2 linked regions of the Caenorhabditis elegans genome follow. The protein of the gene in region 2 interacts with the protein of the main gene of each other region in a pairwise test. Each region holds a gene or a part of one and is shown on either strand. Other genes may lie near its edges.

Region 1 (5,519 bases), on a different chromosome or scaffold from region 2:
AAGGAGAATTCGAAAAAACTTTTGCGACAACTACACAATATGTGGATAATACTTTCAAATTTGGTGCCGTCCATAGAGTAAAGGTTTAGGATGTGGGGTTTATCATAACAAGCTACGCGAGGTTTATCTTACAAGCATTTATTAGTATAAAGGGACAGACGTATGGCAATGTCGCAACAAGTAAACGGGAGAAAGGAGCAATAAGACACGTAACTTATAAAAGGTTAAGAAATGATCCAGAATGAGCGATCCTCAGCTTATATATCTAGGCGTTCGGCGGTTAAAGGAGCAGCCTTTATCGACGATGGGTCTCGGCGCGGAGAATGCGACCACGGCGGCTGGGCGGCAATTCAAACGGGGACGCGTCGGCACCAGGGGTGTGCGGCGAATCGAATTTTTCGGCGATCGGCGAATTCGGCGCTCGCCGATTTTTGAAATTTTCGGCGAACGGCGAATTTCGCTCTGCGAGTTCGCCGATTCTCGTACGGTGAATTCGGCGATTTTTCGGCGAACGGCGAATTCGGCGAACGCCGATTTTCAAAATTTTCAGCTAACGGCGAACTCGGCGAATCGAAAAAATCATCGGCGAACGGCGAATTCGGCTAATATTCGCCGCACACCCCTGGTCGGCACGATGATTTGTGAAGGAAAAGGGCCTGATTCTTACAATAGAACTGCGATGAAACAATCATTTTCACAAGAACACATAAAAAATAAGAAACTTCTTCATTTCTCAGCGATCGTTAGGAAAGGAATTGTAAAATAGATAAAATAGGATACAACACGGAGCAAAACATAAAACAAAAGTGTGTTGTGAAAAAGTTATATTACAATGTATGAAAGTATATTTTACTGCTTTTTGCTCGAAAAAGCAGAAAAAATCGAATCCCGACGGTTCTTTTTCTTGGACTTCTTGATATTCTCCTCGTCTGCGGATGGCGAATTCGTACTTCCAACTTCAGAGGCGTACGAGCATTTTAGGTGTGGCTTCACTTTCTCGTTTCTGGCAGTGAGCACTCCAACTCTTTCCTTGGTTACTCCGGATGGTGTGAATGGTTGCTTGAACTCTCCAGCTGATGATGGCGATGCCAATTGGATAGATTCCGATCGCATCGACGAACGTTGAAGACTAGACCGGTCGAAGAAATCCAAAGAGCAAATTGACTCACGTCCATCGTACTGAAAATTGAACGTTCTGGACAATATTTGTGGTAAGAAATTGTCTCGTCTATATAAGAAATTGTCTCGTCTCACAAAATTGAGGTTGCATAATAATAAACTGATTACCATATTCGACTTGAATCCAATCGGTGTTCCTTTATCGAATTCGTTGTCGTCCACACTAGGAGCAATCGATTTTCTTGGGAACGTGGCAAGCTGTGCTCGCAATTCTTCTTCGGTAATTGTTGGTCCATTATCGGCGAGGAAGTCTGGCAAGCTGTCTGGCGAACCGCATCTGATTCTCGAACCTCTCATTGGAGCTTGTTGGAAGATTTCTGAAAAACAAGATTGAAAATTCAATTTCGAAACGTTAAATATGAACTCACTGATTCTCTCACCCATCCAGGTGGATTTCTTAATCTCGGCGCTTTCCTTCTCTCGAAGATCTGCAACTTCGTGCTCGAGACGTTGAATCAGATCCACTCTAGATTGAAGGAACAGCTAAAAAGTAAGTAATGTTGTATTCAATTTGATATTCAACAAGCAAACCTCTTTCTCCTCCAATTCGGCTTTATGCTTCATTACCACACTTGCGAAGTTTTCTTTAAGGGTGACTGTTTCGTTCTCTTTTTCCGCTAGAGAATTCTTGAGAATTGCCAACTTCTCGGCAAATTGAGCTGAGGCCTGATCGCGTATTGCCTTTTCATTCTTTATCAGATTGGCAGCTCGTTTGTTCTGCTCCTCTTGAAATTTGATGATATCGTCCTTACTCTTGCACGCAACTTCCAACTGCTCAATTTGTCTTTTCGCATTTTGAAGACAAGAACCCATTGACTGAAATTCTTCGTTGCTTTTATGTACAGCTTTGTCGACATTCAGGGACTTTTCATTCAGTTCATTCCAGAGATTCATCAAGCGCTTTTTCTCGTTCCTCTCTTCGTCAAGGTCAGCCTGAAGGCGTGCATTCGTGGATTTCATCATTTTCTCTCTTTCCGAGTGTTCCAAACGAAGAGCATCGATTCTGGAGTTGGCCATGCTCAACGCTTCAAGCTTTTCTTGTCGGAGTTTGTCCACAGTCTCTTCAAAACGCGCCAGTTCCTCGGAAAGCATAGTTTTAGAGTTGTCAGCATCTTGTTTGTTTCTCAATGAAGCAACACTCAACTCCTCAACACTGGCAGAAAGGCTCTCGTTTTCAGATTTCAGAGACGCTCTTATTTTTTCCACTCCGGTAAGTTGTTCCTGGAGGTCAGCCATTTGGTCCTGCGTCGCCCGAAGAGTCTCAGTAAGCTCCTGTTCCTGCTGACGGAATCTAGCGAATTCATAGTCGTTGAGATCTCGAAGCTCTCTGGCCTGCTTCATGAGCTTCCCATTGTCTTCGGTCACCGTTTTCAGCTTAGCAGTAAGATTCTCTTTCTTTATGTCAGCTTCCTCCAGACTTCTTTGCTCGGATCTCAACGTCATTCGAGATTCATTGAGTTGTTGGAGAATGTTGTGGACTTCATCCTTTTTGGCTTCGAGATCACAGCTCAATTCTTCAGCACGAAATTGTGCCTCCTCGGCGATACCTTTCAGTTTAGCGATGTCGCTTTTCAGATCGGAATTCCTAAAATATTTTCTCCATATTTTAAATTCAATGTACCATTTTACTTACGAAAGCTTCAAAGTTCTGTTCTCAGCCGATAACTTGGTCTTGTCATCTTCAAGGTCTCCTAACATTTGCTCCAAACCAAAGATTCTCGCTTTAGACTGCTTCAGCTCCCGCTCGCTTCGCATGAACTTCATGGTAGGGGAATCGACAGCCTCCGCTATAGGGCTTCGCCGAGCAGTTGAGGAAGCTGTGCGTAGTCGCCGGGCAGTAGCTGTTGGTGTTTGCAATGATGTCAAGCTGTAGTTGTTCCTTTTCGGAGTCCTGAAGCCACTGGATGCTTCCTGATCTTCGTCATCTCTCCGAAGACATGCCCACCAGTCGTCAGCGGTACTTTCCGAATACACGTTGTCGAAAAACAAAAACATATCAAGAAGCACAGCTGTGTCGACGCGATTCTCTGATGACGCTTGCTCCAATGCGCGAGTGAGCATTCCCGAGTGATCCTTTCTCATATACTCGAGAAACAGAGCGTAGAATTTGCAAATCTCCAGTGAATCTCCGCTCGCTGCAAGCTTCGGTTCCAATGAATCGGTCATGAAGCTGAGACTCGTTGTGGCGATTTTGCGGAAGATAACTTCATAGAATTTGTCAGCTGTGCCAAACTCCCGAGTGTCGCATGACCTGAAAAATAAAATATGAAATTGTTTATGAATGAGCTATTACTTACATCATACTGGCGATCATACTCCCGTGCCTCTCCCAAAGCTCGGCTAATGAGCTGATTGTCTCCGTCTTCGGTGTGAAATTGGAGCCAAAATAGTTCGTCAATTGTAGCATTGACTTCACAACTGATGTGCTCACGCTCATTCTGCAGAAGGAGTAATTATTCAAAGAAAATGCGAGTGGTTGAGCGAAAGAACGAGAGAGAACGCATACATAAACGAAGAATATTTAAAAGACGCACGCAGAATGTCTGCGTCTCTTACACCATGCTCGTACACTTTTCTCACGACACTTCTAAAAACAGCGGGAATTCAAATGACAATTTTTCCATGGACCTGCAGGTCAACATGCACAAGTCTACCAAAAAAATATTAAAAGGACGAATAATAAATAAAAATGAAGCTGTTAAAAAGTGGGATGACACACTGATTGAAATGAACATTAGAGGAATCTAACATGAAAAATAAAACCAAAAATGCGCGCGCGCGCGAAAATGGTTTCATTCTTTATTTATAAAACCATGTGAAAGATTATGTGCATGCGCCTTTTAAAAAAACCGTATACACATTGCTGAGTTTGAAATTATTTAATGAAAACAAAGAAAGAACATTCCTTTTTTAGGGGACAAAGTTAAGTGCGCCTTCCAATAAAATCTTTATTTTCACAACAAAAAATCTTACAGTAGCTTTCATTTCATATATGTTTAATACTTTTCGAGGAAACTTCTTGATTGTTCTCAAAAGAAAAGCTCTGTAATTGACACACTTTAAGTTTTCAGGCATGGAAAGTTGGTTTTGGTTCATATTTATTTAGCGAGAAGAATAAATAATTTCTTCTTAAAATCTCACCGCACCGTCTAAAAACTACTGCATTATTCTCAAAGTATGAAACCTTTTTCAAACTCTTGATTAGTCGTTTTTTTTTTAAATTTTCATTAGCTGATAATATCTGGCCATTTCGATTGGCTTCGCCCATATGGAGGTCGATTATGATTCATTTGCGATTCCTCTTAATAACCTTACACTTTGTTCTCAATATCAAACAATGAAGCAAACTGATACATATTTATGAAAGATTATCATGGATAAGAAAAGCAAACGGATATTTATTGGAAGCGTCCGAGAGTTATTCAATTGGCTTTCTGCACGTAGTAGCATCAATTTGAGTTACTTGGGTGAGGGTCATCATAACTTTTCTGCGATATTGGTTTGTATCATTGAAATAGAACGGGTTTCTCTCCAAGTATACAGTTTGAAGACCCTTTAACTTTGAAAGTTGCTCAATTTCGGAGAAGCTTTCCACTTTGTTGTCGTTTGCCTGCAATAATAAAAGATATAGAAGAAACGTAAAATGTCTCGGTTACCCAGAAATCATTAAGACTTTCTAGTCTTTCAACGCCACTGAACGTTTTGATTTCGTTATTTGCAACATCCAAAAGAAGTAAATTAGTCTGCAAAAAAGACCCATTTCTCAGTGTATTTTGAATTGCTTTTTACCAGAGGTTCGACGCCATGAATATCTTGTAGACCCTGATCACTGAGGTAAAGTTCCTTCAGATTATTCAGTTGCTCAACATTTTCAATTTTCACAATACGATTTCCCGGCAAGCTGAGAACACTGAGCTTCTGCAAGGTCTCCACTCCCTCCAACTGACGAATTTTATTTTTGCCGATAAATAATTCATCCAAATTTACAAGGTGACCAATGTTCTCGATTTTCTTGATTCTGAACACAATTTGTGATTTTGATGTTGAAACATTCCATATTTACCGATTATCTCCCAGTTCGAGCAGTTTGAGCTGCGTCAAAGCTTCTAAATTTTCGATTTTTTCAATTTTATTGCTGACAAGGTAAAGAGTCTCGAGCTTTGTCAATTTATCCAAGCCGTTGATTTGGCGTATTCTGAAAGTTATTATTGAAATAAAAGTTTCTTAAATTCTTCACCTGTTATAGCTCAGATCAAGAGAAACCAAATTTACGAGTGATTCGAGATGCGAAATTTCGGTCAACTGATTTTCGTACAAATCCAGGGATGTCAAAGTAACTA
Region 2 (5,035 bases):
CTCACAGCTCTTATGACATAGGGGGCTGGGTTTTGTTCATTTTGGAAAACAACATGGAATTATTTGACAAGAAAAAAAACAACAACGGGAGAGATGTGTGGCGTGAAAAGGGAGAGAGAGATTTTATATAAAGACATTGGTGACAAAATTTCTCGAAGAGAGAGATTCTGCACCAAGCCAAAGCGCATGCATCGGCAAAGTTGATAAATTTATACATACCAGTAGAATTCTCCGTAGTTGGAACGAGAGCCTGGGCTCTCCGGAGTTGGCTCCTTGGCATCTGCCGACGGAATATGAATTGTTCCGTCTCCTCCACCAGAGCTTCGAGTATCGTCGTGAGTCGACATTTTGAGCTTGTCTATAAAAGGAATAGAAAGATGAATCAAGACTTCTAACTACTGAAAGTGAGCAAAAAGGGTTCAAATTTTAAAAAAAATTGAATTTTTCTCAAACTATCTACAAGTCGGGTGCATTCTCAAAATTGCAACAGTCAAACATAAAGAAAACATATCAAGAGCACACATAAACCTTTTCTAGAAGATCGACGATTTTTCTGACGTTGACGGTCAAGAACCGATTCGGTTTCAGAAGGCGTCAATGGCCTAACAGAAACTTTTCCAGATATATGCGTCCACTTGCCAGCAACGATAGTTTCTGCACGAACAACTGGTGAGCAAGATCTGCTAGTTGAACTACTAGAATTAGCTGTCGGTGGTGAAACCGGGGATAGGGTTCGGAGCGCGTGTGATGATGGGTTGTGTAGATTATCTTCCGAAACCGACTCGCTCACAACTAGTTGACGACCTGGGGAGCTGCTATTCACGCCACAGCTGAAGAACATCCAATGGAGCACATCAGCATGCTGCAATAGTTATCTCCGCCAATGTTGAGGGGGAAAGCGAAATAAGGACGCCGGAATACGCAGCTTGGCAGCTTGCTTGAGGTTTTGGAAATTGTTTACGCGGAGGTCGTCTTTTCTCTATTTTTCGAGGAAGATGGCAACAGTTGGAATAGAGAGTGAAACTAGTCTGTTTTCATTCCACCTCATTGAAGTATGTGGTGGATGGAAAAAAGAAAAGGCGACGCTCTTTTCTTATGCCCCGAAAAACCTTGAAAAGATTGTTTAGAAAACTGCGGTAAACTTATGTTGAAAAAATGCGGTAAACTTATGTTGAAATTGAAATCGCAAGTGAACTTGAAGTTGAAATTTTTTGTTATTTTTTGTAACTGGAACTTACAAATTCACAATTATAGGAGAAATATTGAAGAAATAGTTAATCTCAGTTAATCTCAAATCTTCTTTGACTTAGTGTACGAGGAGGGCATGTTGCCAGAGAGAGCTAGAAAGCGAGAAAAGATGCGCGCTCTGGATGTTTTGAGTAGATCGAATTTCAAAAAAGAAAGTCGTGAAGAGTGTGAGCATTCGGTAGGTCGGAGGTCTTGTAAACACGTATTTTGTTTGCATGTTTCATTTGTTCGCCCCCCCTCCCATCCAATTTTTGACAAATATATACATGTACATATAAAAATGAGGCGGGAAGATTGAGCAGGAGAGAGAGAGGGCGCGCGGGTAAGCTGGAATCGTTATTTGTCGCATAGCAACCGGGGGAAGAGTCCAATAGAGTAAAGGTATGTACACTAGTCATGTGAATTTTGAAGTTGAAAATTTAGCTACTAGGAATTTTTAGTAGAGGAAAAGGCAGTGTCGAAAACAATCGAGAACACAAATTCTTCAATTGTTTTTGTTTTTCGAAAAATATTGAGCACACATTATTTTATTGCTCCAGTGACTAGTGACTATTGCATTTCCTATTTACCAAGTATAGTAAATATGACTTAAACAAGAGCTTCCTTGGAGTTTTCCACCGATTTCGAAGAGGAAAAAAAAGAGAAGGAAGGGTGGACAATTGCGACTTTTTTGCTGAGCGGGCTCGCGCGGATGGCCTGCTCTTTTTTTTTCATTCCCCTTTCTAGGCAAGAGGTAAACAAGTAAACAGAGTGTGAGCCAGAGAGATGGAGAAGAGCGAGTGGAGCACGACGACGACGACATCAACATTGCCCATCGCCACGGGCCACGCCTTCTTTGGAGTGGGGCGCGCGTACTCTGGTGGCTTGAGCCATCGATCTGGGAGGGCGCCCTCTCTGTGTTGTTGTCGACAACAACAAACGACCAGAACGAAATACGGAAGAGGGGAAGAAGACGACGTTGGCCGATCGTTGTGCTCCAGCAAGGACAAGACCGCGGTTGAGCCGTGCTCTCTCTCTCTCTCTCTCTCTCTCTCTCTCTCTCTCTCTCTCTCTCTCTCTCTCTTTCTCACTTCAATTCTGGGAAACTGCCTAATGATGGCTGCTATCTTTTTGAAAAGTTGCGTAAGAATGGTGGATGAGTAGTGGGAAGTTGTTTGGAAGTAGAGCTTGACTGAGTACTTATACGAACATCGTATACTTTTTCCTAGATTTAATTCCCTAAAAAAGTATAAATTTTGAGGAAACAACATTAGTTTTGAAAGACGGTCTCACACATAATCCTCTACACTCACTTCACACTTTTTGAATTTCGAAACAAAAAACATCGCGATAGTAAGGCGAACTGTTATTTTAACCCCCTTTGATTCCGCAACAAGCTTTTTGTTGATAAGGTGATGGAAATACCCTTATCTACTTCTCCACCCACTAACATTTGAACAAGAAAATTGCCGAAACAACACATATTATGTTTTTTCCTACTCACAGGGGACCGAATGTCGCCTAAAACATGGAACTCAAATTCTCTTTCGATTTATTTCTAGCGTTGAACGAGAAAATGAAAGAGGGAGAGAAAATGTGCCGACCTTCACGTTAGGAAAATAAGCTGCTGCCAAGCTGGATGATATATATGCATATGTCAATTCATTGGGGGGACCATGAATCAATTTTAGGAAAACCTTACCGGATTTGTGTTTTAGAAAAGAATAGAAAGGGCAGGTGATTGGCTGAGCTGCGAGCACAATGAAGAGAAAGTTTCTACCCTCGTTAAACAGATGCCGTTCTTCTTCTTCTCTTCTCGTCTGCTTCAATCGTTCACGTGTCTTTTTTCGTTGTTCCGCCGCTGCTGATTCTATGTCTTTGTCAAGCTTGCGCGACCAGAAGACAAAAAAGGAGTTCGCCGGTTGGCGCGTGTATGTGCACCCTGTCACTATTGATTTCTGGAGAGAATGTTTGTTGCTTTGGTTCAAAGAGTTGTTGTTGGATGGTGTGTGTGTGTGTGTGTGTGTGGCGAGAATTGCAAAAAAGGATAGCCGACACACACTAAAAAAGGAGGACAACTGGCTTGAAAGTTTGATGGGCATGTCGTCCTTTGCCCGGCTGGCATCATGTCCAAAAAAGTGACACGGACCACATACACGCACCAAAAAACGACCATTGTCAAGATTTTCCCGGGGATTTGGCGTTGCAGGGGTTTTATGCCCGTTTTGGAAATTGTTTTCAAAAGTTGGAAAAAACGGGAAGACTGCAACTGAAAGGACCTCAAAGGTGGAATAGCGTCAGTGGGGATTTTATCTAAATTTTTTATAATCATTCAAACAAATCAGATATCATAATAAAACACCTTTTCAACGTTTTAGGCAAAGTTCCAAATTGAATAAAAAATCAGTTTCTACGGTATGCTAGAATGTTTAAACACAAATAATTAAAGTCCAATTAGAGTAGAAAATTAGAAGAAATATGTTGTTATTTTACAATGATATTTTGGCATTTTGGCACCACATGAGCAGCTTTAAACCACTGAAGCCAATCCACCTTTAAGACAAAAAGTTTATCCCAAATTACATCTGGTCTTCAAAAACAAACAATTTTTCGTGGCATTTTTCAAATCGAACAAACCTAAAAGAATTGAAGGAGACGAGAGAATACTGGCTCTGGTTGCTATTCTAGGAAAGGTGCTGCTGGTTCGCACCCCGATTCGCCCATTGACTTTAATAGAATTGCTCTCTCGCTCAGTGTTGCCAATGTTTCGCTCACTCCTATAATTGCTACTCTCTTGGTCCGAAGCAATTGTGAGCCGCCGGTTTCCTTTGCGCCGCGCTGACCGCCGCCACTCATCGTATTTTTTCACGACACTCATTTTCGATTCTCAGAAAACAACATAGTCAATGACTTTTCTCTGCTCTCGAAATGGCAGCCAATTGAAATTGGTGTCGATGAAGGGAAAAAAGGCTCTCTAGTAGAGCAAAATGTTGTTGAAAACGTGCACATAAGGGAGACGAAAATAAGGTTGTCAAAGAATGCGAATTAGAAATTAAGTCGGTCGAAGAGCAAAAATTGCGACGAAGAAAATGTGGCAAGAATTTTGTAACGATGCACATTTATCCCATTCTGATGTGAAAATGACTCAAACGTATTACTCAAAACAACGAAAAATCCGCAGATCTTCTTGGATTACAAACTGAATGATTTGCGAAGTGTAATGATTCCCTTTGGCATAAGTGTATGTGTATGTATGTTGCCGTTACCGGTTTTTCGGGTCAATGGACTTTGAAAGAACAACACATCGCGGGGGAAAGAAGGACGATGAAATAATATTCAACTCGATGATGCGCTGCTGTTGTTGGAGGGCCTAGGTTGTTGGTAGTGTTGGCGCATGAGTGCTTAGCGTACTACTGAAATAATTATGTGTAGTCGTCGTCCATTTTCCTGCCGTAGATGTGTCGATTTGGCTGGTTATATGGTTATACAGGCGGACTTGGAAGAGGGGTGTCAAGTACATACAAATCCCGAAGCATATAGAATGCATGATATACATAAATGTTTACAATTTGATAGCCAAGACTAACTGATTACTTTTTGCAGGGATACCTGTCAGAAGTTGGAGCTTCACTTGTGGATGAGAAGCTCAAGCTGGGAATCGTACCACCAACCGGGGTGGTTGAACTGGCGGCTCCAACTTTCTACTATGACCGTATTGACCGGGCGAAAGCACGGACGAAGGAGAGAATTCAATCAAGATATCCAAATATTGGAAGACGATTTCATCGAATTGGACTACCGGAAAAGG

What was found.
Region 1: the proteins of lfi-1 (region 2) and lin-5 interact in a two-hybrid assay, tested with the Caenorhabditis elegans proteins (one study listed by BioGRID).

The regions. Positions count from the first base shown.
Region 1 is NC_003280.10:7,858,757-7,864,275, reverse strand, and holds lin-5 (Spindle apparatus protein lin-5), read right to left. Parts: upstream 3,618-5,519; 5' UTR 3,617-3,617; coding exon 3,477-3,616; intron 3,431-3,476; coding exon 2,813-3,430; intron 2,765-2,812; coding exon 1,711-2,764; intron 1,663-1,710; coding exon 1,548-1,662; intron 1,497-1,547; coding exon 1,288-1,496; intron 1,180-1,287; coding exon 850-1,179; 3' UTR 713-849; downstream 1-712. Other genes in the region: sds-22 (Protein phosphatase 1 regulatory subunit SDS22 homolog), read right to left, coding at 4,598-4,789, 4,836-4,922, 4,969-5,197, 5,243-5,374, 5,417-5,519. UniProt on the Caenorhabditis elegans protein: Essential component of the spindle apparatus required for spindle positioning and chromosome movement. Acts to recruit or anchor gpr-1/gpr-2 complex to the spindle and cortex.
Region 2 is NC_003284.9:4,979,390-4,984,424, reverse strand, and holds the start of lfi-1 (Rootletin-like coiled-coil domain-containing protein), read right to left. Parts: upstream 3,186-5,035; 5' UTR 2,930-3,185; intron 863-2,929; 5' UTR 842-862; coding exon 529-841; intron 361-528; exon of another isoform or gene 359-360; coding exon 220-358; intron 1-219. Other genes in the region: ZC8.6 (Phosphatidylinositol 4-kinase type 2), read left to right, coding at 4,831-5,034.